Arabidopsis thaliana: one gene and its partners. The protein of the gene in region 4 purifies or fractionates together with the protein of the main gene of each other region. This does not show direct contact. Each region holds a gene or a part of one and is shown on either strand. Other genes may lie near its edges.

Region 1 (8,624 bases), on a different chromosome or scaffold from region 4:
ACAGGCCAAAGAGACATAAATCCTGAACCAAATCATTGATGAGAAGAAGGTGAGATGTGTACAGATGGTGGTGAAGGCAATCACTGCCAAACAGTTTATGAGGTACTTCTTTGTGTTGAACTCTTTCTCTGTTCCTTCGTTAGGGAAATGACCATTGGAGTAAAAGTCATTGAGCAGCTGGTCTTTGAGCTGGAATGTGTTCATTAACCAAGCATTGATGTCCTTTTCTTGATTTGGGATTTGGGTCAGGTTGATACGACGGATGTGGATGTGAACTTCTGATGGCTCAATTCCATAAACGTTGTCTAAGAAAGATGGGCAGCGGGTTTTATAACCGATGGTCACATCATAAACTGCAAGTGCAATAGTGTTGCATCAGAGTTTGCGTTTTTCAAGAAGAGAGGAAAGGCCTAGGATCTTAAATCACTGATGCAAACCAGCAAAAGTATAGACAAACCTGCGTCAAGTGAGCAACTCAGTTCTTGCAAGCAGGAGACGAAACCTTTTGTCCTGGGAAGCAGCACGTTGTTCAGTATCGGAAGGCCATTTTCAGCAGCAAATTTCTTACTCCTTTGGCATTTAGCCTCTCTGCATAAAGTTCCATTGTAAAATGCTTTTAACTAAAAGGTCTCTAAACAAGAATGATACTCCAAAGAAAGGAAACGTACGTGTAATCTGTGCCCTCGGGGAAAAGAGCAAGCCATAAAGCGTCTCGGGGATCCTTAAAACTCGAAACTATCTGTCTCAAGTTTGCTTCATCGACTTCCCATCTCCTCTCAACTGGAATAAACTCAAAGAGGTGAAACGCCCAACCAAAGAGAGGTAATTTCATCAAACTACTCTTAAGCACATATTTGATATTCCCAATCTGGCCTTTACGCAGTGCAAGATCCCAGAAGTACATCCAATCAACTTCTGTTCGGTGGTTTGCAATGAGCAATACTCGATCCTCGCAAGGAACCTTATCACCAGAGAAGATAACTTTGGTTTTGTTAATCTTCTCAAAGAGGAAAGGCCACAAGGCGAGCCACGAGCCAAAGAAGAAGGAAACACATTTACGGCTATAGCGAATGCTGAAAAGCCTCAACACTACAGCTGATAAGAACCCCCAGAATATCAACATCATAAAAGCTGTTGAAACTAACACCATCAGACATATTATACCTCTTAACACTCTAATCAGAGACAACTTATCAGAATTTGGTACACTCTTTTTTTCCATTTTATACACCTTAAGATAATCTAATTAACCTCCCCCTTCTAGTCTTCTATTCTTGATGCAATGAATCACAAAGTTCATGAATTTCCTGTTACCAGAATCACCATCAGAGCTCATATGGTTGAACACAACATACTTCACCTGCAGGTAATGATCAAAGACACATCAAAATAAGAATCGATAGCAAAGTACTTTATCAACAGAAAACGAAAACAATGTCTTGTAATTTAATAGACTTATTCAAATTCATACAATCTGATTAATGTTGGATTAAAATAAAGAAGAAGCTTGTATTCTCAAACACATATATACATTGTCTAAAACAAAAACTCTCACCAAGATAATCAAGATTCAAGCACAAATCTCAGTGAGGATTAAAAAAGCCAATCAAGAACACAGCATTTGTAAAATTTATTATTGGAAAAAAGAAATTCAGACAGAGAAAGGAACCAGATAGAAGAAGACAGCTTACCATGGAACTGAGCTTCCAGGTTTTATTTATAAACAAACAGTGCAGAAGAAGAAGAATTTAATGGCCGAGAAAAATATCATGAAGGACTACGATCGTTTTGTGAAAATAGGCTCAGAGGTTGTTGCTAATTACGGTCTATGCCACTTCTCGTAGAAAGTAGTACTCTTAGGAAGGTGAGGAAATTTAAACCACTGTCCCCTCCTTTTTCGTCATTATTAAATTCGACACGTCATCGTGTTTCATTGTTCCCTTTATTCAGCTTATTATTATTTTCAGTCTATCAATTGGGCCGGGCTTTGAAAGCCCACAAAGGTTATTTATTATACGTTTATCCTTATATAAAAGAAAGGAAATAAGAAATTAGTTTTTCTCCTGCAGAGTGTTTCTCCTTCCTCAAGTCACTTTTTGAGTCGCAGCAATTTGGCGTTTGGTATCTCTCAATCTGCTGCTTCTCCTTCTCAGTCATGGTCATGGATATCGATTTCAACGAGTACAAGCTCAGGTGCGAGCTTCATGGCCACGATGATGATGTAAGATCTCTTTGCTAAATCCACTTCTTCTTTCTACTGTTTTGATTTCTCGTTTTCGTGATCGATTCTACTCTAGATTTTGAAATTAAGTCTTGTATTCAGTAGGGTTCAGCAAAATTCACCCTCGTGATTCCAATTTCACTGTTCCGCTTTTGATCCAGGGTTTTTCAATTCAATGAGCTGATTTGATAGTTAGTGTGAAGCTTTGTTTTGATTAGTTTTATTATTAGGTTGACTTCTCAACGAATTTGTACTCAATTTGAGAATTTTATCTAATAGGGTTTGATGTTTAACCTTGCGTGCCAATGGCATTAATATAGATCAAATTTATACAATTTTTCGGCAGGAGTGTGATTGTCTTTATGCTATTGAGCTTATGCAATTGAATAATAACTGTGATTGTGACAATGGAAACTCATGGTTTATCAACATCTTCAGGTTCGTGGGATTTGTGTGTGTAATGATGAGAATATAGCTACTTCATCAAGAGATAGGACCATAAGGGTTTGGTCACTGGATCCATCTGATAAGCGCAAGTATACCTCCGAGAAAATTCTGCTGGGTCATACTAGCTTTGTTGGGCCACTTGCATGGATCCCACCAACTGATGAATACCCTGAAGGAAGACTTGTCTCTGGGAGTATGGATACTTTCGTTTTTGTTTGGAATCTGATGAATGGAGAGAATATTCAGACATTGAAGGGTCATCAGATGCAAGTCACTGGTGTTGCTATTGATAATGAGGACATAGTTTCATCTTCAGTTGATCAGTAAGTCCTCCTGTTCATGTAATTTCCTTAGTATGACATTTACCAACTGTTTAGTCAATAATGCCTCTTACTTAGTATCCAGTGAGTGTACTAGCCTGCGGTTTTCCTTCACTGTTTCCCAGGAATTGTATCACATACAGGATATTATATGAATCTTAACCGTAGTTGTAAAGGTTTTATGAGTGTTAATTGTGTGCATTATTGTCTTGAGTAGCTTACTAGCTTTAGTAATACTGGGGTAAAGAGATCCATCAAATTTTGATTTACCCTCTACTGTTGTGTAATGTAACTTACATTTATTTATTTTTATTTGTAGAACCCTGAAACGATGGAGAAACGGTCAGCTTGTTGAATCTTGGGATGCACACCAGTCGCCTATCCAGGCAGTGATAAGGCTGCCATCTGGTGAGCTCGTTTCAGGTACATGATCCAGCTAAAGCTGTCATTTGATGCATTTGTTTCTGTTTTTTTTGTTGTTTTCTTGCTGCCATGGACTTCCTTATTCGATTGTATTTTCTAGTATGATCGTTTTGCAAGCTTAGGTTAAATGATTTTTTGGTTGTTCTTAAGATGCATATACTTCTTTTTGATTAGGCTTGACGGCATATTTTTCACTGATGTTACTTGTACTTACCAGGTTCAAGTGACGCCAGTCTCAAACTCTGGAAGGGTAAAACGAGTCTGCAAACTCTTTCAGGGCATACAGGTGAATTCATTACTCTCTCCCAAATTTCGTATCTCTCAAAATTTCCTTGTCAATATGAGAAACTGCATACCGGAAATAAGATAGAATCTGATACTAGCTGCTCTAAGATATCTTATCTTGTGAAGTGCCAAGACACTGGCCTGTTGTCAGGGATTCCTTGTTATTGGAGAAACTATTGTCTTATACAAGTATTTTTATTTTACAATGCAGATACTGTTAGAGGGTTAGCTGTGATGCCTGATTTAGGATTTCTTTCCGCATCACATGATGGGTAAGTTATTTGCTTCCAACAAACTCATGCCTTACTGAATTTCATTGTCCAAGTGAATCCTTATGTGCTTAACTCGAATTGTGTTGTCTTTTGCATGACCTGGATAAGTTTTGTGATCCGGGGATAATATGATACTTGAGTTTTCTCTTATTTATCCTTTCATGTGTTTGTACACAGCAAAGGTTGTAAATCACTATTTTATTTTTTCTAACAGTTCAATCAGGTTATGGGCACTAAGTGGCGAAGTTCTTCTTGAGATGGTTGGCCACACCTCCCTTGTTTATTCAGTTGACGCACATTCGTCTGGCCTTATTGTTAGTGCCAGTGAAGATCGTCATGCCAAGATATGGAAAGGTGATTACGGGTTCCTTAGTTTCTATTGATGCCTTGGCTGTTCTTCACTTATGTTTCACAGTTTTCTAGGTTATATGAGGTCTGAGATGTTTAAATTTGGAAAATATGTCTCCACTTTTCAGTATGTTGCTCGCTCTTAAAGTTTTCTTTCAATAATAAAGATGTCTATATATCATATTTTTGTGGAAGACGTGTTATAAATTTGATCACTTAGTTGCAACCTATGGAAAGTTAGTTGTTAGTATGTCAGACAGTAATCAACTGATCAGAAACCAGTTTGAAAGGCTCACGAAGATTGGTCTGCAATAGCTGTTATAATAGATATCACTTGCGAAAAGAGACTGACATTTTGGTTTAAAGCATGTTTAGATCTTATAGGTTGATCTATTGTTCTTACTTTGTTATTTTTGTTTTGGTACAGATGGAGTCTGCGTTCAGAGTTTGGAACACCCAGGCTGTATCTGGGATGCCAAGTTTTTGGAAACCGGAGATATTGTGACAGCATGTTCAGATGGAGTGGTTCGTGTTTGGACAGTACGTCATGATGCGATTGCAGATCAGATGGAGATTGATGCCTATGATTCCCAAATTTCTCAATACAAACTAAGCAGGTAATCTGATCATTTATGGTGATCTCTATTCTTATCGACTAAATTCTATGTCCATTGAGTTTTTTTTCTTCACGTGGCAATGCATATTATATGACCTGCTGACGGGGTATGCTTTCTTGTCTTTTATGCTCAAAATATAACTGCAAAGTATATGCGTGCTGTTCTTTATCTCAGGAAAAAGGTTGGCGGATTGAAACTTGACGAGCTGCCAGGGCTTGATTCTTTGACGTCACCAGGTACCATTTATTATCCAATTAATTGTAATATTAATGTTTCGTACGGGAGAAAGGCTAAATTTTAAAGAATCTCAAGAGAACACAAAGATAATTGATAGTGTCTGGCGATCAAATTTGAATAGATTAAGCTGGCATTCTTGTAACATCATCCTCTCTTATTTGATATATGTTCTCAGGTACCAGTGATGGCCAGACAAAAGTAGTAAGGGAAGGAGACAATGGTGTTGCTTATGCATGGAATATGAAAGAACAGAGATGGGACAAAGTAAGTAAACAGAATGAACTTTTATCTTTTTTTTTATTTGTCGACTGCATTTCGTTTTTGCTCTTGACCTGAATGCGGCTTTGCTATATATTAGATCGCATGCATGAATATACAGATAACTTCCCTTTGAAACAATTACCTTGAGGAATATTTGTTACTTTGTTCATCGAAAAGTTGCCATCGGATTAGGGCTTGTAATTTCCACGAATGAGCATGCTGTCTGGTCATAAATTGATAGCATGTACTGCCAGCAATTTGCCTTTTGCGAGGATTTTATTTAATGTGGCAACCCATACCTGAGAGGAAAATTTCATCTGATTTTGACTTCTGATCCTCCTTCGAAGTAGCAATCTCTTAAGTAGATAGCAAGTAAATGAGATAGATTTCTCTCTAACATTTGTTTGCATATGAAGGATTAAACATTGGCTTTTTAGTGTGGTAGAATGTTTTGAGTTCTCACTGCATGCCTTTTTTCAGATTGGTGAGGTTGTTGATGGCCCAGATGGTGTGGCTGATCGTCCAATTCACGAGGGAGTTCAATATGATTTTGGTTAGATTTTGACCTATTATGGAAACTTGAGAATCTCTCAAAATCGAAGAACAAAATTCTTAGCCCTTTTTTTTCTCTAGTTTTCGATGTTGACATTGGTGATGGGGAACCTATCCGGAAGCTACCTTACAATCGATCAGGTACCTGAATGCTCTTACTGGCCTTGTTTTATTACAAGTGCAACCACAAGAAACTGCTTCAGTTTTTGATACTTCAAATCTTTTCTTGTTTGGCAGACAATCCTTATGATGCAGCTGACAAGTGGCTTCTAAAAGAGAATCTCCCCTTTGCATATCGGCAGCAAATTGTTGAATTTATATTACAAAATTCTGGGCAGAAAGACTTCAACTTTAATCCATCTTTTCGTGATCCCTTCACCGGCGGTATAAAATTTTTGAAAATAATTGGTCTGAAATTTTGTTTTTAGGATTTTATTTTAATTTTGTGTTTTGCCTTTTATTGTGTAACAGCAAATGCTTATGTGCCTGGGCAAGCATCTCGTACAGCTGGTATGAATACACTGTCTGTGTCATTTTCACATAATACTTTCAATTTCTTCATTTCTTGTATTGTTCTTTTGCTGCCTCATGCTCTGACTCTTTTCTGTTGCAGCAACTCCGGCAAAACCTTTATACAAGCACATTCCAAAAGTACGCTGGTTCTCTTTCTTTATTAGTTATTACTGTTTAATGTTTCTAGCTTTTTGATCCTTTTTTCTTCCATAACTCTCTCCAGAGAGGTGTGCTAGTTTTCGATGCTGCTCAATATGACGGGATTCTGAAAAAGATGACAGAGTTCAATACTACTTTACGATCTGACGCAGTAAGCTTTCAGTATCAACTTTAGTCACACAAAATGATTAAATGGTTATTTTACTTATACTATTGTTGGTATTTATGTTTCTACAATTTTTCCATCTTTTGAAGGTAAACAATGACAAGTCCCTGACCGAACTCGAAGTATCCAGAGTAGGCGCAATCGTTAATATACTGAAGGACACATCACACTACCACTCTACCAATTTTGCTGACATGGATATTGCTTTGCTTTTGAAAGTGCTACAAGCATGGCCACCGGCAATGATGTTTCCTGGTTGGTCTTCTCTTGTCAATCAATTAGTCAAACAGAACTGTTTATTACATATTGAACTTTTGATGGTAGCCATATGTTTCTCAATATTATGAAGCCACAGCAAAGTCAGTTTTTTCCGAGATGCTTGTTAAACAATCTAAAATGAGATATGTTTTGGTTTATTTGGATGTTATTCTTGGTCTCCTTGTGTTTCTTTTGATGTTTCTTGCAGGCCATAAAGCATTTTGCCTTTCGCTGGCCACTTTATTTTTGTCTTTTGTTGGATATAGCCTTATGTTTATCTTGTGTCAAGCTCTTATACCTATGGTTTTGAATATGCAGCTACTGATATAGTAAGGATGCTCGTTTTGCATCATCATGGAGCAAGTCTACTTATCAAGCATGTGGAAAACAACAATGGTAATCATCTAATTCGTGAAGCTATGCTTTCTCAACATTAATGAAAGTACTAGCTAGTAGGTAATGTCCTTTATTAACTGGTATCTCTCTGTTACTATATATCAATCAGACCTGCTTTTGGATTTGATAAAGAAAGTTACAGAAGATTCTGCTCTTCCTGCAAATCTTTTAACGACTGTTCGTGTCCTTGTTAATCTATTCAAGAATTCTTCATTTCATTACTGGCTACAGACGCATCATAGTCAAGTAAGGACTCTTTCATTTCTATGATTTTATACCAGAACTAGGATGTGTGATGATCTCGATGAACCTACTAATTGGTTTAGCTGTGACTTGCAACCTGAGGAGAAATTTTTGGGTTTTATGTCTAATATACATTGCTTTTTTGCGTCTGGGCATATAAATTAAGTTTCTAATTACATTTAAACATAAGATAGTGCCTATACATGTGTGTGTTTATTATAATAATTTGAGAAGTGGTTTTAATTGCTGTGGATCAATGCAGATTCTTGATGCCTTCTCAAACTGTTATTCATCCCCAAATAAGAATCTGCAGTTGGCTTATTCGACGTTGCTTCTCAAGTAAGATCTCTCTTATATTACTTTCTTCTAGTTGGATTTTTGCCAAATTGTAGCTTTATTCTATTATTAAACTCTCTGTGGAGAAAGATCAAACCGTAATCTATGCTTTTGTTCTTCCTCAGTTATGCAGTGCTATTAATAGAAAAGAAGGATCAAGAAGGTCAAGCTCAAGTCCTTTCAGCAGCTTTGCAGGTACGCCTAAATTTGGTTATTTTTAACCACTGTTGCATACATCCAAATCCTATTCATCGTCACCGAGTTGAATCTCATCTGTTTTTATTTTGTCTCTGTCACTTGCACAAATCTCTGAGATCAAAGTAAAATCGGAGAAGACCAATGTACCAAATAGTTTATTATCATTTTTTTGGTGCTAAAAATATTTAACTTATTACTACAGGTAGCAGAAGAAGAAGCTGCAGATGTTGATTCCAAGTTCCGGAGTCTGGTAGCAATTGGCTCACTGGTTAGTTTCCGCAACAACTAGAGTAACGTAATCCACTTGTTGTTAATTACATAATTTAATCGGTGTGTGTTTGTAACAACAGATGCTTGAAGGTCTCGTGAAGA
Region 2 (4,550 bases), on a different chromosome or scaffold from region 4:
TTATGTGGAAATAGAGGCGATCGGTAAAAGTTGATTTGTTTATGGTTTATTTGTAATAATAAAAAAACTACAAGGTCCCAAAAGAAAATAATAATCACCGAACAAGTCCCTCCCATCATCCCATATTCCACATGGACTCTTTGAAATCCAAGGTTTTGCCATTTGACCACAGATTTGTGTTATTTTCAAACACAAAATCAACCAATTCCGATGAATCAGAAACCTCCGCCGTACGGTTATGGCGGCGCTGGTGGTGGAGGAGTCGGTCCTTCTTCCACTTCCAACACCACAATCATCGGGACGTTGAGTGCACGCGCCAAGCAGACGACGCAATCGATGATCACGACGCTCCGTCCATGGCGAGAGATTCTCGATCTGTCCGCGCTCTCTCTCCCTCGCGGGTATGATGAAGCCATGGCGCATCTAAAGCACAACATCTCTTATTTCCGTGGAAATTACGCTCTCGCCGTTCTCGCCATTGTTTTCCTCGGCCTTATTTACCATCCGATGTCTATGATCGCTTTCATCGTCGTCTTCATCGGATGGATTCTTCTCTATTTCTCTCGAGACGCAAACGATTCGATTGTGATTTCGGGGAAAGAAGTAGATGACAAGATCGTGCTGGTTTTACTCAGCTTGGTAACGGTTTTGGCATTGGTATATACAGATGTGGGCGAAAACGTTCTGGTTTCGCTGATCATTGGTTTGCTCATCGTCGGAGCTCACGGCGCTTTTCGTAATACCGATGATTTGTTTCTTGATGAAGAAAGTGCTCGCCGTGGTGGCCTGGTGTCTGCCGGTTCTGGTAACCGGCCACCGTCGAGTTATACCCCAATTTGAGTAAACCGGTTTGGAGAATTACTCGTAATTTCTTGGGTTTTTGATTGAAGAAGCTAAGGGAATCAATTTAGGGCTTTGTATTTTGGATTTCCCAAAGATTCTTGTATTTATATTTTGGCGTGTGTGTTTCATTTTGTTTGAATGTATACAAATTCTGGGAAAAAACAAATTGGTGTTATGGTATTTTATAGAATTGCCAAAAACATAATTTCCGATAGAAAAAGAAAAGTATGCATTAACCAGATGAAATTTCATAATGAACAAAACCAGTATGTTAAATTCAAGAATCCTTTGGTCTACACTCACAGTAGAATCATAAACTGATGCAATAGAAGAAAAACAAAGTTGGGAATAACTACTAACTAGTCTTCTTCAAGATTGATAGAATCTTTGAACTTAGCATACAATACCTTCTTCAGCGCTGCCATTTGTGTTACAATTGATTCCTTCTCTTGCTCGAGTTTCTCAAGGCTTTTGCAGGTCGCTTCTTTCATCTCTTCTATCTTTGTTTCTACGTCGTCCCTCGGCACATGAGCAAACACTTCTCCTATTTGAAAACGCACCATCTCCTCATCAGCAAGGATCAACTCGTTCCCTGCATCCTCTAGATTTTCACACTTTTCCTGCATAAATCAATTGTTTTTTAATCAAGCTAGATGCAGAAACACACAGTAGAATGCTGTTTTAATCCCCCTAATGAAACGATTGAACAAGACAAGTATCCACTTATTATTGCAAAGTCCCACATCTCCCTTTTTGTTTCCTACACATGCTGAACTATCAACACCATTACAATATCTAATTACAGTGATCTGATATACCCTAGCAGGCTTATATTCACCAACGAAGGAGAAAGTTAAGGGAGCAGTGATATGTAAGAGTGCACGGATGGTATAAGCAGGTTACAGTAGATTGGTACAACCTAAAGAGAATGTAAAATGAGATATGAGAGTATAGAGATTCTCTTGTGGGGTTATCTGAATGAAGTAAAATTACAATTTACAACAATCAATAAAATCAGGAATTATCTCAAATAATCTTAATCATGATCCTACACTAGACCAACAACACTTATCATATACTCTCAGGATCATTGTAATTAGCTTTTGTATCGGGTTGTAGCAGTGCTGATTTCATTTCATCAACAAGGAGTTAATCAGTTAGCTGAGAGCAAACCGATGTGTAGTAGATTCATTATTTGGTGAATTCATTACGGGATTGGATCTAATCACAGTATTCCACCACCTAAACGATGCAACATAGCGAATTGAATCCATGAATAAAACCTAATCTTAAAACCCTAGAATCGTGTAGAAGAAAAAATCAAGGATACATAAAAGAGAGAACCTTGGCGGATTTGATATCGTCATCGAGGTCATGGACTCTGTTGTTGAGACGGCTGAAGATATTAATGTTCTGCTGGTCCTCCCATGTCACCTCCATCTCAGATCCACTCTTACTCCCCTGCAACATCATCATCAACCATCCATTAGCATCAATTGAAGAAGATGCTAACAAAATAAATTACTCCTATTCGAGATGATTTTCTTACTTGCTGCTGCATTTTCGTCGCACTCTGGGGATTCAGGCCAAATTTCAATAGAACGTTGCTGTGTGAGAGAGAGTTGTGAGTTTCTTTCCCGACCGATTTTTATTAGAGGCTAGGCCCAACCGAGTTATTCTGGTACTTCCCGGTATAATGGTTTTGATACCAAATTATGATTGATTTTTGGTCTTTTCGGTCGAGTTTGTCCCACTTGGCTTGGAATTGGTTATTTTGCTTATTTCGTTATTGATTCGTAAATTTTGTAACATACTAACATGTTTAATTAACTAAATGATACTTGTACTAGTTTAGTGGTTATACCATCTTGTTAGTTGCAAGTGTTAGTAATATGTTTCGACCAACAACAACACCAAAAATTTCTAGAACAAAACCTATATCAAGTAAGAGTTAGTTATTCCAACAAAAACCACCAAGGTTTGTTTTTGGATTCTGTCTCCATAATCAATCAAGCTCCAGAATCTCCCCAGGGAATTAACAGAGAGATCCCTTTAAAAATGGCAAATGGAAATTCTACAAACCCTACTTTTAAACAACACCAAATGTGTGGTAGAAGAAACTCATTGTTTCTGTGTTTTGTAATATCACACCATTAAAGTTCACCAGAAAACATATCTCCTTCTGTACATTAATAAAATAAACCAAACAGAAAAAACTTCTTACCCCTTTTCTTCTTCCGGGATGAACATTTTTTAAAGGGAATCAGAGTTCTGGGATTTTCACTAATCTATTCAAGTTCTTCTGTTTTTCCTCGCTTACATGAGCTAACTTGTACAACAAGGCACATCATCACAAAAATATTCTGCCCCTTGTTGATAATCATAAACGTGCCTGCGATTTCTTATATTAACAACAGAGAAAGATGGTGAGGGTTGGAGAAGCATTGAGTGTATCAACCTCATCGTCGTCATCTTTCTACGACAGCGAAGTAGAAGAGCTTCAAAAGATGCCATTGGAACCACCGAAAGCTAAGGCTAAGAAACGTCTCTCGAAGCAACTCTCCATGTTAGAGACCCGTAGAGACATCGCATGGGAGCGTCGCCGTCGCCAGATGCTCCATCACCTTGAGAAGCATAACGAAGGAGGAGATGACTTGACGGACGAGGACTTGAGTGAGCTCAAAGGATCTATTGAGTTAGGGTTCGGGTTTAACGAGGAGCAAGGGCAACATCTTACAACTACATTGCCTGCATTGGACCTTTACTTCGCTGTGACTCGTCAGATCTCGCCGGTTTCTACACCAGGCAGTGGTGGATCTTCTTCATCCTCCCGTCCTACTTCCCTCGGAGACCGATCTTCCTCTTTTGGTAGTCCAATAAGCGACTCTGATTCTTTGAAGGTTATGTCTCCAGGTAACATAGCAACCTAAACTTTTTCGTCAGATTGATATTTTCATAATATGATTGTGTTTTGATGTTATATTCTATAAATTTGCAGGAGATGATCCTCAACAGGTTAAAACGAGACTGAGGCATTGGGCACAAGCTGTGGCATGTTCTGTGATACAATCTTCCAATTAAGCATAGAAGTGAGAGATGTACAAGAGTGGGACATGAATGATACTACACAAATTTGGTTGAGACAAAGGAAGTGTTGTAGAAATTAAGGAAGCTTAAGACAGATTAATTAAGGAGTTGGTTAAGACAGAGGAGGACGGATTATTGAAGTTCAAACTAAAAGAAGAAATAAGAATGATGCATGGTGGTCTTACATGTTATTATTCTTGAACCCTTTTTTTTTTCGCCAAAGACAGTTTTTAATTTTTTAGATATCACTACTTTAACAGTAAGAAAATATTTTAGATATTAGGTTTTGGCTTCTCTTCCTCTTTTAATTGTCTTTTGTAAGTTTGTATTATGCGTATCAACCTTCTTGTTATTTTCCAAATTCGAGGTCCTAACACCAACAAAGAAATATGAGTTTAACAAAGGACATTACGTATAAGTAGTTTATAACGAAGAAATGTACAACAAGTTTAACAAAGTTGCATGACTTTTGACATGCTAAACAAAAGTATCAACCAACCTAATAAAAAAAATCAAATGAGAACTTCAGAACAAAACCTACATTCACTCTTCACTCAAAACTAGAAGAAAAATGCAAAATAAACACAAAGAATATGAAAACCCATAAGGAAATTATGAAC
Region 3 (8,440 bases), on a different chromosome or scaffold from region 4:
CATAAATCCCTAAAACATCGTATAACGCTTTGAAAATGGATTCCCAAATCAATAAAAGAGTAAAGAACAGCATCTGTTTTTCGTTACCTGATAAGCAGACGATAACGGCAAGAGATTCCGATTAGACGCAATTAAAACACCCATAAACGGAAACAATTTCATGATTCTATTATCGGGATTTTATAATTTTTAGTATCTTCTTTTTCTGTTTGTGGGAATCGAGAATAATATGAGCGAATTTGAAGAACACGTGTTTGGAGAAGAAGAAACAATTCGTGTTATTTCTCTTCGAGATTATAATGATGGCCAGTGTTAACTATATAACAAATTAGCCCACTTTTTGATCTTAAAAACTAATTAAAAGATCTCCAATTTCAGTGTATCCCGAGATTAAATATTTTAATCAACAGTTTTTCTGCTAATGTAAAAAAAAACACTTATGATTCCCCTTTTATATCTTCATTTTTCATAAATCTAAGCACCAATGATGCCAAAACTGAAGGAAAAGCTCAAAACTTTTATCCAAAAGAAAAAAAAAAAAAACTGAAAGTAGTTGAGAACTGAGGAGGCAAATTAAAAAGACAGCGAATGATGTTTAGCTTCTAAACGGGTCTTAAAATTTGTGACGAAGTTCCACAGATAAAATCATCAAGTGAACCAAATTTACTAATCCACATGTAAGATTTTGGAACCGAAACTAGTCACATGGGTCACCTCAATCCAAATGTTAAAAACCCTATCGACCTTAAAAGTTTCTATTTAAAAAAAAAAGGATTAGTTTTTGTCTCTGTAACTGGCTCCATCGAATCAATCAAGCCGCTGAAAGAAGTAGACATAACCCATGTCTTTAGGAGGATCAGTCGAGATACCAACTTTGTCGTCATTGAAAATTACCCAGCGGCCTTCTTTCAATATGTGAGCCACGTAATGACCACAGTGCACTGATGTTCCCATGTGACTTACTATTCCAAACAGCTTGTATTCTGCATTTAAGATCAATCTTGAGTTAGAGTTTTATTCATACTGCTTTGTGGAAAAAACGAAACACTAACATTTGTTTTGCAAAATGAGATAGAAAGACTCAAAAGAGGGTTTAAGAAACTAACTCCCTCCTCCATCTGGTAATCCACTTTGAGCCGGAGTCTGCGCTGAATTGCTAGAGGATACATCCATGTCTGAAACAGATGCATTAGGGTTGTTGAATACCCAGTCTGTTGCTTTCTCAATGTCTCCTCCCTGATTAAAGACAAAAAAAACAAAACCGATTTCAGTAATGAGTAAAGAAAAAACAGCCTCGCAGAAATGTAACTAATTTGCTCAAAAGTGTTATACCGAGGCTTTTAGTGCCTTCCGAGCAACATCTTCAGCAAAACCAAAGGAGAGTAAGGTATCAACGCTTGATTGATCAATGTCAGATGTCTGGTGGGAGATTGGTGCATCGATGTCTATGAAACATAATGCCTCATCATATTAGAAATCGGTCTCGAGTCGTAATTTAGTTGAGCCTCAACTAAAGACTTGTGGAACTATTTTCAATTACCTGGATCATCCATGTGAGAAAGTAACCAGTTCATTGCCTCTTCAACCCCAGCATTGGAAGTATTTATGGCAGCTTTCTGGCAGTGAAGCTGGCTAAATCCCATTGAGACTAGCTGTGCAACTATCTCCTCATTTGCCACGGGCTGCGCTGATTCCATCACTTCTTCTGGAACTGTATACAGAAAAATCCAATAGCCAACAGAATTATAAGGAGACTGAGTGCCATAAAGAAACCGTTTAAGGGATGCTGATACTTTTTAATGATTAGGAAACTGAGTGCTAATTCCAAAGGCTAGTAGTCATGACACCAGAAAAGATACCACGAGTTTGAAACAATCAATAAATGGAGTCAATCAATCATTATTTATGTGAATTATGAACACACCACTCCTGTGATAAATATAACAACATACCGCCATCTGGCAACAGTTCTTCCCCAGGTTGGAGTCCTTTGCTACGCATGTGGCTGATATCAATAACATCCGGAACATCAATGTATACATCTGCCACAGTAAATCAAGAAAGGATAATAAGTATTTATATACAGGGACAATAGGGGAACATTATAAGGATCATTGTTTCAGAAAGAAAGAGACCAAGTTTCTTTGGCACCCAGCCTTCCTCCATAACAAATTTCCGCATGTGCAAGACCAAATAATCTGGGAAAGATGTCAAACCAGTTGTCCTGCATAAAATGGGAACCAAAAGTCAAGCCTTGCTTTCATTCTAATCTTGGTTGCAAAAGAATTCACTCGGTAAAAAACAATATCTTACTTGATAGCTGTTGTCATTCCCTTCAAAGCAGAGCTATAGTAGTCTTCAATCGGCTCTGATGATGCAAAATTTGCTAGACAGGCTTCTAAAGGAACTCGTGGGCGTACTATTTCATCACTTGACCTCCTGAAAATAAACAAAAAAATCTTAGATAAGCAGTGAAACTATGAAACAGATTTAAACTTAAGTCCATTGACTCACATATCATTCTCTTCCAATCCTTTTCCTGCTTTTTGCTTGTGAAAGGCTTCTAATTCATCTTGATCACCAAACATTAAGCAAAATTAAGAAACACGCCAAACGATAAAGGAAGAGGAACATAGACAGACGAACAGGATATACCTTTATTAGTTGCCTCATGTAGCGGAATGTTCAAAGAAAGAATACAGTCTTCCCTCTTATTATATCCAACCTTTCCAGACGGACAAAGGATCTTCTCTTCTATTCCAAACTTGAAGCTCCTCGAGGGGTCTAAATCTGGTGTCGTGTTGCTAGCACGCTCAACCTTGCCTACCAGATGGAGGAAAAAGTCGAGAGCATCCTACAAGACAGATTGGTGCTAGTTAGTATGAAAACATAAAATAATTTCGTTAACTGATGCCGAAAAGGAGTATCGTTCCAATACAAGTTAAAAAATAAACAAAACTCCGAACATTAAAAAAGACATGGTTTTCACCTGCTGTCTCATAGAAGAGAATTCTGCGTGGCTCGCGGCAATTACGTTTTTGAACATGCGAGGAGGTATTCCTTCTTGTCTCTATTATCGATTAAAAAACGAAACAAGATGTAAAGTCATCAGAAATCAACACAAGTGGGGTATGCAAAAAAAAAAGTGTGGCCATCCGCATACATATATTTATTCAAAAGTTAAACACAGGACTTCAAATAAAAATCTTACAGGATCTCCAGTTGTAGCATCCTTCTGCAATCAGAAGAAAGGCGAAATCAATGTACTGAGGCTCTAAAAGGTGGTTTAGATCATATACATATATATATGCATACAAGCAAAAATATTTCCTACTATAGTTATACCTGAGTTGCAGGCATTGAGTACTTCCCAGATAGTAAGCCGTGTCCAAGCTTTGTTCTACAACCAACAGTGCAAGGAGTATGAAATAAATATGCAAATTACCATGCAATTATTCCTCATGGAAATCAGATTAGTTAGAAAAAGTGCACAGCATATCAAACCAAACGGAGAGAAAAACAGAAACTAAAGCACGTGCATGCAGATACAGAGTATGCACAAATATAATCTTAAAACCCTTTCATCATAACGATGCCAAGATTTCAATCACATGATTTCAGAAAGTCCAGAGCATAAACTTAGTAACATTTTTTCTAACAATAACTCACAATTGCATATTGAGGTCCAAAGTTGGATCAGCAGGAGCCATCTCAAAAGCCATCTTTAAGCTCTGATGTGAAAAGTATCTGCAACAATCTCAGAACCAAAAGTTACTACAGTTGAATCAAAGAGCAAAAGCTTTGTTTTGATTTAAGTTATATAAGTGAAAAAGAAATATGGGCAATGGCATCTACCTTGAAATAAATGAATGGGTAGAGAAAACAATCTGCATCGTAGCTGCCAAGTAGCAACTGGCAAAAGAAAAGAAATGGGCATAAGACATCAACAAGGAAACGAAATCCCTGACAATTTTTCCATTAGAGTACCTGTTCCCAAGATTGACAAGTCCGGTATATCCAGGTCCAAAAACTGGCACCAATTCTTTTCCACTCTCTTGTATACGGTTCCAATCAAAATTTGTATTTTGATCAAGTTCTCTTTCAGCAGTTGTCATTTCAGTCTGTGAAAATTGTAGCAAACATTTCAAGAAAGTTAACATTATTCAGATTAAAACCAGCATGGGATATCTTTAGCAAAGATGATGATCAAGGCAGTACAAACAAGAAAACAAATACAGGTGACTATAAAACCTATGCTTTGGGAAATGAAGCCTCTTAACTTAAGCAGTACATGGAGCAAGGAAAAATGAGGAAAAAAGACACAATACAGTTTACTATTGTAAATGTTTACATGTGACGCAACAATTACAAGTAAACAGACTGAACGCGTGAATGGGAATTATTGTCTCAAAACGACCTGAAATTACATTCTCCAAGTGCACTGCGTCTTTTTAATCGCAATTATAAAAAAGTACGCAATAACACTGATGTGAGTCTACTTGCTCTTGGTAAAGAAACATTTAGTCTCAGACATATTCCATGTTTCTACAGTTGTTTTGTGGCAATTGATACTGAAGAAAGAAATGAACACAAGACATAAGCTTTCTAGTACAACCAGCACTTGCCAATGCAACCCAGGATGGGTATCTTAACAAACCATATCATTATGGGAATACCTAAGCTTGAGTATCTAATAAAAATGCAGTACACGAAATTCATTACCACAGACAAACAACAATATAAAGTGTCAGACAAGATCCACTCTTCACTTTTATACTTTAACAGAACCATGAACCATCATTACTAACCTTCTGCATCGACGAGAAGTCAATTCCAAAATGGGCCAGATGCTCAGCCAGGAGCGGGTCCAAAACACTGTCATCTTCCGGATAGGAATAAACATCTGAGCTGCCAAAAAATTTGCAATGATTAAGTGCTGAAGAAATCAAAACCCATCCAAAGAACAAGATAATCCACATGCATCAACATTAAAAAAAAAAAACAAAGTGATGCAGGAAGTCCCCCTTATCCACCCCAAAGAGACAACTATCAACTGATATTAGCCATACACAAAAGTGAAGTTTAATGACTAATCTCTGGTTCTACGAATAAGGAAACAAGACAACTTTACCTGCTGCTTCTAAGTCAGCAGTGATAGTTCCAAGCTTTACAGCAAGAGGGTAGGCTGTCTCTTTGTAGTGCTCAACAGCATGGTTGTTTCCACCAGTTCCATCCCAGTTTTTTCTTCCACAGAGAATCATTCCATCGGTAAGATTAAGCCAGAGATTCTCCGTCTTATCACACTTAGAACATTTCCAACCAGAGGGAGGAATGACAATGCCACTCTTGATTTGCTGCAGTGTCAATGCATGTTCACTAATTAACTTTTTCTCAGCTGTCCAAGCTGCAACTTGCTCTTTCCGCTCAGCACCAACGGCATTCACTACAGTATCGACAGCAATCCTCACCTGCAATAACAAATCACAAAAAGCTAAATACATGCAATGTGTTTTCCATAAACCACTCTCTGATAACACACCTAAAATCAACAACATAGTGCTAACAAACACCTTCTCTGGTAGCTCAACAGAAGGAAACGGGAGTGAAACAAAATCCGGAAGTATGACTATGCTATAAGACTCCTCGTACTCTGGCTCATTGTTATCAAAGCCTCCATCAACACCTGCAAATTGATTAACAGTTCAAAACCAATCTCTCGACTCTATGTTCAAAAATCAGTATAGATACGGCATTGTAATCATCATTGTATATATACCTATAGCGAGCAGAGTCGGTTTCTTGAGAGGCCGATCCTCGGGAATAGACTTCCTAGTCTGCTTAATATGAAGATAAACAGGGTTTCCAGTCTTCTCATAGTTCCAAGAAACATAATCCTTCCCGAAAGCAAGAAAACTATTCATATCAACGAACAATCCTCCTTCGGATCTCTGAAAATCATCATTGCGAATTCATCAAAACCGAAGAAAACGAGAGAAGAGTCGAGAGTAGTCGGAATTTGAAGAAGAAAACGAAGTGAGAGAGAGGCTTTACCGGAGTATCGAAGGAGATGCAACACTCATGCTTGTAGATGCGATGAGTAGGTTCAGGGATCTGAACCCTAGACAAGTTGGATCGGAGGAGCTCCATAGGGTTTTTGCGAAATCGGCGAAAGAAACTCTCTGACGACGGAGAGACAGATATGTGTTGTTGAGTGATATCACACGTCTCCGTTACAACTTAACAAGGAAGGTACGGATGATGAGAAACGTCGTCGTCCTTCTAAATTCCTTTCTTATTGCCTGAGGTTTTGGGGAGAATTGCAATAAAGCAAAAGTTGTTGTCAATTTGGGGAAATTTCGTTAACCGACTTTTTGTTGGGTTAATTTTGAAAATATTCTAAATTAAGGATAGAGTTTGGATACACAAAAAGAATATTGTACAGCCCATTAGAGTTTGTATTTACCCAATAGACCCAAGACTATTTGATTGACCCATATGCATGGATGTAGAATGAATCAAAAGAAGAAACCATAAATCACAATGTGGCCAATGTGGGTTTTACATGTTCTTGTTCAACACGAAAATTACTAAGTGTGAGGATATCGTTTGATGATTTTTGAAATGAAAAAAAAAAGGTGGATGTCTACTCTTGGGAAAAAGAGGTATTCAAAGTTCATGTAATATATGAATGCTTATGATTTATGAAGAATGAACAATGGTGATGAATCAGATCCAACTCCACAAAGATTCCTTGGTTCTTCTAGCATGCTAAAATGTTTTGGTTCAACTCGATTGTTTAATTAATGTGTTTTTGGGCTACTTAGCTAATTAAAGTTGTCTTGTTTTCATAAGGCCAATTCCAATCACGGAATATCACAAGTCTGTACATTTCTCAGAATTTAAAATCAAATACATCCACAACAGTGTCGACGAAAACTATATTTACGAAACAAGACAACTTTACATGTGGTGCTGAAAACTATAATACTAATAATAGTCCGAGTATATATCGTTTATCAATGACTCAATGTATAACTTATGCATGAACTAGTGGTAATTTGATGAATAGTATAAATGAGAATCGCGGGATAACAATACTCTAAAGAGAACAGAAGTCACCTTTTTCAGTTACCTCAATTTTAGAAATTTTTCATATTTTTTTTACGGACAATGATATATCAAAATCAAACTGGAATTGATAGGTCAGTGATCTAACTTCATGTCCTTAGATCTCACTGTGTTGGTTCAAATTTCTATATAAGAAGTTAAAAAGGCCTAAATCCACTAGAGTTGTTGACAACAAAATAGCAGAGCCGATTTTTTTCCATACAAGTTTCTCCATATAGAAAACTATTTCTCTTTTGAAAATACTCGTATCCCTTTAAACAATAATTCAGTTTAATGAAAATGTAAGGAGGCGGATTTTTGGGAAGCATGAAATGCTTTTTTTTTCTTTAACAAGTGTTCAATAAAGAACCTTTCTGATATAAAAGTAAAAACCATTGTGGGCCATATCTTACTTCCACTAACATTATTCCAAAGTTATAAAAATATATCTGTCCCAAGATTTTTTTCCTCTTGTCCAATCAAAATATGCATATTAACACATTACTCTCTCTTATTCGTGGAATCTAATTATTCCCTTTCAAAAATTAGAATAGCTAAAAAAAGGAAGAAACAAAAGCTCCTTTTCTCCATAATTAAATCACCTTTCTCCTTCTCTGAATCAATGAAGACAATACTTACATTATAGATCCCTACATTCTTCTCTAACGAATAACTTAACATCTATCTTTCATACATAACATCTATTCTTCTCTGAATCAATGTTTATACTCTTTGGAGGGAACGGAACACTCGTCTGCACACTTCTTCTTCGAGACCTGCTGCTGGACTGATTATGGAGATAAAGAATCTTATTCGCACTCATCTTGATCCTCTCTCACGAGCTCAACGTATTGGCCCCAATGGTTTATCGTACCTCGCCACTTGGTTCGGTCTCTTTATTTGATCATATGCTTTGTTTTACTTTTCTTTGTTGTTTTGTAGGTGTTACTCGTTTTGGAGGCGGTGTGTATTCGATTTCGTTTTATAAATGAAGGTAATGTTAAAAAAAAAAAAAAAAAAAAAAAAAAAAAACATCTATCTTTCATACATAACTATTATAACCCCCCAAAAAAACCTATAGATATATGTTTGGAATTAATTTGGTCGTGTGAAAAAATACATGTCAAATCTCAATAGCTCTTATATATCTATGCATGGTTCTTCAATTACACATTATTTTTTAGTTCTATGAATAAGAAGTATAAATGGACAACACGTTTCACTTGTCCATTAACTTATCTCCTCTTCGTTTAAAAATGCGGTGATTCTTATCAGCAATCAACGTATATATTATAAGTTAAAAAAGATACGTACGTTACCCGACATCTAATAT
Region 4 (8,334 bases):
GTTTCGGTATTCAGACGCTGGAGCTGAATAACACGGGATTGAAGACGCTGCCATCGGCTTTATTTAAGATGTGTTTGCAGCTCTCAACTTTAGGTCTCCACAACACAGAGATAACCGTTGAATTTCTCCGCCAGGTTTGTTTGTTCAGAGTTTCATGTTTTGAGTCTATAGTTCTTTCTTCGTTATCTGAACTGAAACAAGGATATTTGTATTATGACAGTTCGAGGGATATGATGATTTTGATGAAAGAAGACGTACCAAGCATCAAAAGCAGCTTGATTTTCGTGTTGTGGGATCTGGCCAATTCGACGAAGGCGCTGATAAATCTTGGTGATCAAGCCAAGTCGAGTCTCGAATCGTCAGTACTCTTAATATATTTGTGGCACTTTCAGTGAAAAAATCTTTCTCCTTCATGCCTATATATTGTTTGCTTACTCCAATTTGAATTGTAGTGTACCAAATAAATTGAACCACTCTCAAATTGAATCCAAAATTTATGCAATGAAACCGAATAAACGAAAACTACGATACCTATTGTTAAAAAAGCTCATCAATTCTATAGCCGAGTCAGTCAGTATAACCGGTAAAAAGGAAGTAAAGGCAAACAGCTTTTGAGTCTAGAATCTTGGGTTGGGGTTAAGAGAAGGTGGTGCTCGAGACTTGACCCTAGATTATATCTTTAGTTCTTTGCTTCAATTTGTTCTCTGTAAATAGATTCACAGAGTGGATATTATTTAAGGTAGATTATATCTTTCGGATTCTTATCGCGAAACACCACCTGCAAGAAGACATGGAAAAAACCGAAAAACTCGAAGATTTGTTTGATAGAACATGTTTAGAAGGTAACGGGTGTGTAAACCACACATTCAGCAATTGTACATAGAAAGAAAGACTAAAATAGAACGAGAGAGATAAAATGAGTCTCTATCCCCCTCAAGTAAAAATCAGTTATCTCACCCACAAGCATCCAAAAGATAATAACGTAGGGCAGATGCAGAGACAAAACACACAAATTTGCTCTCAAGAGTTTCATCTTTCTTCATTCTCTCGAAACTTTTCACCTGAAGTAGATAGAGACGAGAGGAATATCGACGTCATTGTCATCTTCATCCTCACAAGCCACCACTACATCAAGATGGTTGCGATAAGGCGGTAACTCGACTTTCGCAACATCCCGAGCGAGATCCACAACCTTCTTGTCCATCCTCTCCTTGTGCCTTGTGAACATACTGTTGAACAGAAGACAGCTTCCACAAGAGATGCTGTATGCGCTAAGCCCTTTGTCCTCCAGCCACTGCAACACCTCACGAAGAGTTGGGTTTCCCTTGAGAACCCATCTGTCCCAAACTGTCCAAGCCATGTCACGGTGCTTCACCACCTTTGGTGGAAGTGGTTCAGCCATGGAGAATAGTGGAAGTGCCAGGTTGGCAAATGTGTTTCTGTAAGCTTCCACTTTATGTCCTCCATCAAGGACCTTGTACAGCTCGAGGCAGACCAGCCCAGTAGCCATGGCTGTTGAAGTCGCAATGGCTGGGATGATTCTCCCTGCTATGAACTTTGCTTTCAGCTTGTCCACTTCAGGGATGCTGTAATTTCTCGCCCTCATGTTGGCTAGTCCTGCTATCACATCCATGTGATAGTTTGTATCATCATCCTACAAACACATCAAATTCAAAATGACAACACTCAGTTAAAAATTGTAAACAAGACAAGTCAATATCAGTGAAGACGATAACATTGGAGGGTAATATACCTTTTCGAACTGAATAGGTTTCATCCTGAAGTCTGGCGACAAGTTATGCCTACACTGGTCGATCTTAGCAATGAGATCGTCGATGACTGCAGCGTCGTCCACCGAAGCAGTGGTTAAAGTGGTAGCTTTCTCATCAGTCACAATCTTTGCATCTTGCCTTGGCTCAAAGTCTGGGACTATCACTCTGTCAACAGCTTCTGCTGCTTCCTTTGGGTTCTTAGTCCACTCAGGTATCGGGATCCCAAATGTCTCTGCTCGTAAAATAGCAGTCGCTGTGATAAAGTTAAGGAGACTTGGGTCGGACGACGAGTACTGGAGTGGACGAGGGAATCTTTTTGGAGCAGACCAGAATGGAGCTCCGGTACTAGTCGCAGCATCTTCAGGAAATGTGTATATCAATTGCTTGACACGGTTCACAAAGTAATCCTCAAACCTAGTCACATAACATAACAAACACATAAATTATTGCAAAAATCACAGACTCCACAGAGGAAGGAAACGATTTATTCCCACTTCTACATATTGGTTGTAGCTACCTGTTGTGAAATGAAGTTACCTTATAACACTGTTCCTAGTTTTTTATTTTATTTTTTAGTTTCGTAATGATGTTTTCAACGAATAATTAAGCAATCCTGGGATGAAGCACATGACAAAAGCATAAAATAGGAGACTGTAGCAGGACATGAGTAAGACACCGGACTATATTTCATTCCATATTACGACTAGACTATCTAACTAACTATTAAGAGTGATATTACCTCAGTCGTGCCCAGGTTAAGCAGTCTTGGAAGGTCTCACACTTCTCCTTTTCAAGGCACTCAACAATCCTCTCCAATGTGTCCCTCGCCTGAGCATCACCAGCACTCATCATTGAGTTAGTGTACTCAACTGGGCTAGAAAGATATGCATTCACTTCAGCGGGAGTCTTCTCCAGCAGACCCTCAAACTCAGAGCGAGCCCAAGTTAAACAGTGATCAATGTTATGCGGGAAGGAATGCACTGTACACATGGGGGCCTGTTTCTCTGGTGGGTCCCTTGAGGCACCGTAATTTTCAGTTAGATGTGGGATAACCGACTGTGTGTTGCACTTTGTACCAAGAGTTCCAGACTCAAGGAGAGGCTTCTGGAAATACAAGCACCTCGAATCAACATAGAGCCTCGCATTAACATTATCCAGTGCATTGACGACAACAGTTAAGTTCTCCCAGAAGGCATCGTCAAATACATTCTCAGTCTCCGCGCCAACACGGTTTTGCAGGGCCTCAATGTTGAAGCGAGGATTTATAACAGCAGCAGCCGAAGCAGCAACTGTGGATTTAGCCTGTCCAATGTTCCAGTCACGGAACAGAAATTGACGACTGAGGTTACTCTTCTCAATGATATCATCATCTGTCACTGTCAGCTTCCCTTGGCTTCCACAAGAAACCCCCATCAGAGCCAAATTTTTCAAGAACTCACAGCCAAGAGCACCAGACCCTACTGTGAAAACTTTAGCATCTTCAAGTTTCTTCTGGAACTTGGCCCCAAATACAGATATTTGGGCATCATACCGGCTGTTTCTTGGTGCAAAGTCACTCGAGTCCACAGGTTCAGAGGGGAGTGACTCCACTGAATCAAAGTAGAAAAACTGATAAACAAAAAGAGTCACAACATCAGATCCCAATACGAAACTTTAAACAATATAAATGTATCAAAAAAAGAGGAAACAGCTGTAACTTCCCACAACATAAAACATTAGGAAAAAGGAGAGATGCGTATTAGATAATGTTCCTTATTTTCATTAGAATTTCTATTTCTTTATTTACTTTATCTAAACAGCTTTCATTTAGCTTCTAATATATTACATAGGGATGAAGAGAGCTTAGGAATTAATTACTCTTGGGTGTATTTCAACTTCTGTCTTGTTACTTTGATTCGGTTTTAACAAAAGAGAGCTTTGAGTTTAAATTCTAGTGTTTAAAATTCTTAACTCGAACAGAGAACTTGGCATGCAAAGACTAAATATGTGTTCTCACAAGTCTATAGAAAAGAAATTTTACCTGGAAGAGAGGATGAAATTTTCCAGAGCAAGCTTTAACAACCTCCTGTCCAACAATACCGCCAAACATTGCAGCCATAGGATTCAGGACAGCCTTGGCTCCAAAGGAAAAGTGTCTTAGAAGCTTCTGATCAACATTCTCCACCTTTAAATCACCCTGCCCGGTATTGATGGCTGTGGCAATCGATATAAGCTTCTGAGCGTCCTCTTCTGAGCCAGCAACAGGAAATCTGCCAGCTTCAGCTTTAAAATGATCAAGTGCCTGGAATGCTAAGTGAAGGAGTGGAGGCCGATCAAACTTAGAGAAATCACTAAATAGAAAATCCCCTGGATCCTTAAGCGCTTCCCTCAATGGCTTGAAATTCAGTAACTTTGGCTGTTTCACTTGAGTGACAATACCACCCTTCACATATGTTCCATAGTTAGTAGTGTCCTCATCAAGGGTGAATGAATATGGCCGTGTACTTTTTATCTTCCTTGGTTTCCCATCATTCAATTCTGTCATACCCTCAACTTCTGAGAAAACAACTAGGTCACCATCTTCAAACTCAAGCCTCTCATCGTCGACACAGGAAATAAATGCCTGGTTCTCATTAGAGATAGACGCAATGATGCCTGTATGGGGTTCCTCTCCATCAACATCAAGAACCGCAAATTCAGGCCCAAAATCACAAAAGACAGAGCCGAAAAGACCCCTGACATCAGCCTTGACAAAAGCGATAGGAGGCTGATGGCTGTGACAATAGTCATCAAATTCGATTGCTCTTTCCATGCTTATGTCAGAGAATACAACAACCTGTTTGGCACAAAAGTAGATGTATCAGCGTAAAACCCGCCAACAAGAAACACACACCAATGAGAAAAGTGTACACCAATCTTCCATATCAATATCAATAAACACTAGAAATAGCCTAACACTAAATGAGACAAAACCCATCTCTTATATGCAACGAAAATAGAACAACCCACTCTTATGTTACTCATTCAGTTACAGTGTTATCATAAACTCACAAGTAATCTACAGAACGATACAGTACACAAAAGACTCAGACCATATAGAACCAATAACAAGACAAATGAGTTGTCTACAAACCTGGAAGCCAGAAAGATCCTCTTTGTTTAAGCTTTTGGTCAAGCTAGAGACAACCACAGCATTGTTAAGATCCTGTAACTTCTGAACAGAAGCATCTGCTCTATTCTTGCCAACATCATCCTCCGAGAAAACAAAGTTGCTTGATAAGTCCCATAGCTCTACAACTCTTTCATCATGCAAGGTCACAGACTTCACACCAGCAAGTATAAGATTCTTGGCTGAAGAAAATCAACAAATAAAACAAAAACTGAATGAGAAAGCAATCGACTAAAAAGTATCATTAACAGTTCACATTTACCATGCATCTTAGAAAACTGGCATATAACGAAACCCCAATAACAAAGATATCGAACAACTAAGGAACATCAGGAAGCTACTAAGATTTGGATGTTGAAGAATACCAGCAATCACAGATCAGGAGAACCAAAACAAAACAACTAAAGAGTAAAATCTTTGAAGATGACACAATTATTCACAGCTTCTAATAACGACGCATACGAAAACAGTGTTTCTACAAGTTTCAAAAACCAAAGAGACGAGGGAGACCACAATCTCAACATAAAACCAATGAAGTACATACCAATCTCGGCACCAAGACCGTGCATCCCCGAGATGAGAACATTGGAAGCAAAGAGACGCCTCATAGTCTCACGACCATAGACGGCGAGCTGGCGACTGTGCAGATCTTCATCAATCTCCTGACGGTTCGAATTACCAAAAGCCATGTCGATTTGCTGAACGACGCTATCGCCGTGAAAACCCCTGCTACTACCAGAAGCTAAAATCGAAGAAGACTTATCAGACGAAGATTCAGTGAAATCGATACGGCGTTTCTTAGATGATGCTAAATCGGAACCGATGATGGTATTATCGTTCTTATCGTTAGCTTCACTAGCTCGCTTGTGAAGCATAAAGTGATGAAAAAACCTGGAGAAAACATGTGAAATTCCCATTAGATTAGAGAACACTGAAGAGAGAAAATCCGATCAGAATTGAAATACCTAACCCTAGATTGATTCTTCGGAAGCTATGAGAAGGAAGATAAAACGTACCTTTGAGGAAAGCAGACGAGAGAAGATTGGAATCGGAAAAGAGAAAAAGTTTTTGAGATCTGAAAATTGAAATTGAAGTGACGAATTTTGCAGAAATCTCTAAGATTTATTTAAGAGAGACGGGCGAACGAAAGGGGTTCGGTTGTGGGGGGATATGAAACGATGACGTTTTAACGGTTAAGGTTTGATTTGTCGCTCTTTCTCCGCGTGATTGTGACGGCAACTCTCTGACCGGGGGACACGCGTCCGTCACTATTTCAAGACCAGATCCGGTTTAGTTAATTTCTTATGGATCCTTCTTATGAATCTGTATTAAATCTGAAATATTGCTTTCTTTTTTTAATTACCAAGTTCAAAAAAACTCACATCTTCTTTTGGATAACTGGAAACTTTAATATTATAATTAAATATTAGATCAATTTCCAGCTATGAATATTATAATTAAATACATTTTCTTCTAAAGTTTCTCAAAACAATCTTTTGAAAAAAAATTCATGACTTTCTATGACTTTATTTTGTGAAAGAAAATGTAGAAAGTCATGAACCAATAACATAATAATTTAAATCATAAACAATCAGAGATTTTTTTGTTTTAATAGAATAACACAAAAAATTTACTGACTTTATAAAAGTATGAATTCAATAATCTAAAATTTATGAAGATTTTTAGATTACTTTTTACAAATCTTTAATGAATAACACAAACTTTTAACATACTTTTAAATTTTTTTGATTAAATAACAACAGATTCTACATGATACTTTAAGTCACTAAAACTCTTTTGAAATCATAAACCAATAACACCTCCTTAACTCGTGGTTAGTTTATACAAAAATAAAACTCTATAAATTAATACTTGATAACTTACTTAATCACTATATTAATAAACGATTGTAAATTGAAATTTAACTTATGATTAGTTTGGTTAAAAGTGTAGATTTTGGAGTTGATGTTGCAATTCCATGGATAGACGATCTTGAAATATTTGATCGCAGTCCATGGGAGTGAGATTTCATCAACTTTCAATTTCTAGAGGGAGAAAGCAACAAGTCGTGGGTCTTCTTTTATCCAACTAAAAATGTTCATCTTGGATATTTTAATTGCAATGGTGCTCTTATAAAGTGGGGCAGTGTCAATTACTATGTTCATCAGTTTCAAATGGGTCAAGAAGTTGTGAGCACTTCTTCTAAACTAGCTTACTTAAGGTATCATGATGATTTACCCATAGAGTTTGTGGATGATTGGCTAAAAGGATGGAGTTTGGCAGAGTATAACTACAAAGGCAAAAGTCTCTACACTCTCAATTTCTCACCTCAGGCCAAGTCATTCATCACCCTAAGAAAAAACAAAAATGGAGTTGTGCAAAATATCTTCCCAAGACGAGTACTAATGATGCTGGTAAAAGAAAGGAATCCACTGGTGCTCCCAAAACGAAGAGGATTGCTAATAAAGACAAGGCTGACAAAGTGGCAAAGAAAACTAAAACTGGGGAAACCCTGAAGGTGAATGTACTTCAGAAGCAATACGAGTTAAAGGCATTTTGTCGAGCTCGACAGGCAGTATTGAGCTAACTGATAATGAGGGTAAGTGAAGAACTCTTCTATTTGTAAGAAAAAAACAGCAATTTAGATATGCTTAAAAGATAAGTTATCTTGTCAGGTGATCGTGCTCTATCTGATATTGGTGCTGCATTGGATGCTAATATGAGGAAGCAAAATCTGAAGCTTTAAGAAGGAAAGGCATAATAGATGCAGTTGAAACCTGGAAGCAAGCTAAGGAAGAAGAAAAATGGCTTCGTGACTACGAAAAGGTAGGTGAAGACCTGTGATACATCAAGAGAAGATTGACTTGATTAAAGTAAGCATTTCTTATTATATATTCTTGATCGTCTTTATAGGATGGAAACCTCTTCAATCTTGTAACTCGTAAGAGGAGAGTACGAACACTTAGAACGTGCTAAGAGTCTTGTCATGCAAATTCCTGGTGAGTCTTTATACGCGTAACCCTATTACCCTCTCTTTTTGAAGTAATGAACAAAGACTTAAGATGATAGTATTGTGTTTCTTTTCTAAGCCATGATTGAAGATCTAATCATTGAAGTGAAGGCTTGGGAAAAAGAAAGAGGAATCCCCTTCTTATATGATAAGGAAACACTTTAATGTAAACTTGTTGATTAAGCTTGTTTTTCTGATTCTGATATTGATTTGAGTAAACTTTGTGCATGTGGTTTGATAAAGCTAGCTTTTGATGTATGCCTCTGTTCTTTCTTTTTATCCCCTAGCACCCATTATTACAACTTTTGGAGGAGGAGATTGCAAATTGATTTGTATCAGTAGCTACTGATACAAATCAAGTGAAGTTAGTTCTGTAAAGGTGGAGAAATTTGCCAGAGAGGAAT

Evidence for each region.
Region 1: the proteins of UBA1 (region 4) and AT3G18860 fractionate together in Arabidopsis thaliana (co-fractionation; one large-scale study listed by BioGRID). This does not show direct contact.
Region 2: the proteins of UBA1 (region 4) and AIP3 fractionate together in Arabidopsis thaliana (co-fractionation; one large-scale study listed by BioGRID). This does not show direct contact.
Region 3: the proteins of UBA1 (region 4) and UBP14 fractionate together in Arabidopsis thaliana (co-fractionation; one large-scale study listed by BioGRID). This does not show direct contact.

Annotation. Positions count from the first base shown.
Region 1 is NC_003074.8:6,499,619-6,508,242, forward strand, and holds the start of AT3G18860 (transducin family protein / WD-40 repeat family protein), read left to right. Parts: upstream 1-2,049; 5' UTR 2,050-2,155; coding exon 2,156-2,221; intron 2,222-2,659; coding exon 2,660-2,991; intron 2,992-3,307; coding exon 3,308-3,411; intron 3,412-3,628; coding exon 3,629-3,697; intron 3,698-3,907; coding exon 3,908-3,968; intron 3,969-4,182; coding exon 4,183-4,322; intron 4,323-4,743; coding exon 4,744-4,933; intron 4,934-5,107; coding exon 5,108-5,169; intron 5,170-5,345; coding exon 5,346-5,434; intron 5,435-5,911; coding exon 5,912-5,984; intron 5,985-6,064; coding exon 6,065-6,124; intron 6,125-6,220; coding exon 6,221-6,367; intron 6,368-6,454; coding exon 6,455-6,493; intron 6,494-6,596; coding exon 6,597-6,634; intron 6,635-6,719; coding exon 6,720-6,806; intron 6,807-6,910; coding exon 6,911-7,076; intron 7,077-7,397; coding exon 7,398-7,475; intron 7,476-7,584; coding exon 7,585-7,721; intron 7,722-7,980; coding exon 7,981-8,057; intron 8,058-8,179; and 6 more. Other genes in the region: LPAT5 (lysophosphatidyl acyltransferase 5), read right to left, coding at 1-353, 458-588, 669-1,222.
Region 2 is NC_003070.9:2,808,723-2,813,272, forward strand, and holds AIP3 (ABI3-interacting protein 3), read right to left. Parts: upstream 2,592-4,550; 5' UTR 2,405-2,591; coding exon 2,393-2,404; intron 2,305-2,392; coding exon 2,188-2,304; intron 1,464-2,187; coding exon 1,203-1,463; 3' UTR 1,056-1,202; downstream 1-1,055. Other genes in the region: PRA1.E (prenylated RAB acceptor 1.E), read left to right, coding at 211-840; AT1G08790 (1-phosphatidylinositol-4,5-bisphosphate phosphodiesterase epsilon-1, putative (DUF1685)), read left to right, coding at 3,267-3,756, 3,842-3,924.
Region 3 is NC_003074.8:7,202,194-7,210,633, forward strand, and holds UBP14 (ubiquitin-specific protease 14), read right to left. Parts: upstream 6,355-8,440; 5' UTR 6,148-6,354; coding exon 6,052-6,147; intron 5,949-6,051; coding exon 5,777-5,948; intron 5,684-5,776; coding exon 5,571-5,683; intron 5,469-5,570; coding exon 5,132-5,468; intron 4,904-5,131; coding exon 4,809-4,903; intron 4,122-4,808; coding exon 3,988-4,121; intron 3,913-3,987; coding exon 3,856-3,912; intron 3,748-3,855; coding exon 3,670-3,747; intron 3,401-3,669; coding exon 3,346-3,400; intron 3,236-3,345; coding exon 3,212-3,235; intron 3,071-3,211; coding exon 2,990-3,070; intron 2,855-2,989; coding exon 2,656-2,854; intron 2,573-2,655; coding exon 2,515-2,572; intron 2,440-2,514; coding exon 2,314-2,439; intron 2,225-2,313; coding exon 2,136-2,224; intron 2,043-2,135; coding exon 1,953-2,042; intron 1,712-1,952; coding exon 1,541-1,711; intron 1,446-1,540; coding exon 1,333-1,445; intron 1,237-1,332; coding exon 1,107-1,236; intron 984-1,106; and 3 more. UniProt on the Arabidopsis thaliana protein: Recognizes and hydrolyzes the peptide bond at the C-terminal Gly of ubiquitin. Involved in the processing of poly-ubiquitin precursors as well as that of ubiquitinated proteins. Involved in seed and embryo development.
Region 4 is NC_003071.7:12,851,575-12,859,908, forward strand, and holds UBA1 (ubiquitin-activating enzyme 1), read right to left. Parts: upstream 6,154-8,334; 5' UTR 5,937-6,153; intron 5,812-5,936; 5' UTR 5,796-5,811; coding exon 5,465-5,795; intron 5,103-5,464; coding exon 4,885-5,102; intron 4,588-4,884; coding exon 3,793-4,587; intron 3,381-3,792; coding exon 2,512-3,380; intron 2,187-2,511; coding exon 1,754-2,186; intron 1,655-1,753; coding exon 1,058-1,654; 3' UTR 755-1,057; downstream 1-754. Other genes in the region: AT2G30105 (LRR/ubiquitin-like domain protein), read left to right, coding at 15-134, 221-334. UniProt on the Arabidopsis thaliana protein: Activates ubiquitin by first adenylating its C-terminal glycine residue with ATP, and thereafter linking this residue to the side chain of a cysteine residue in E1, yielding a ubiquitin-E1 thioester and free AMP.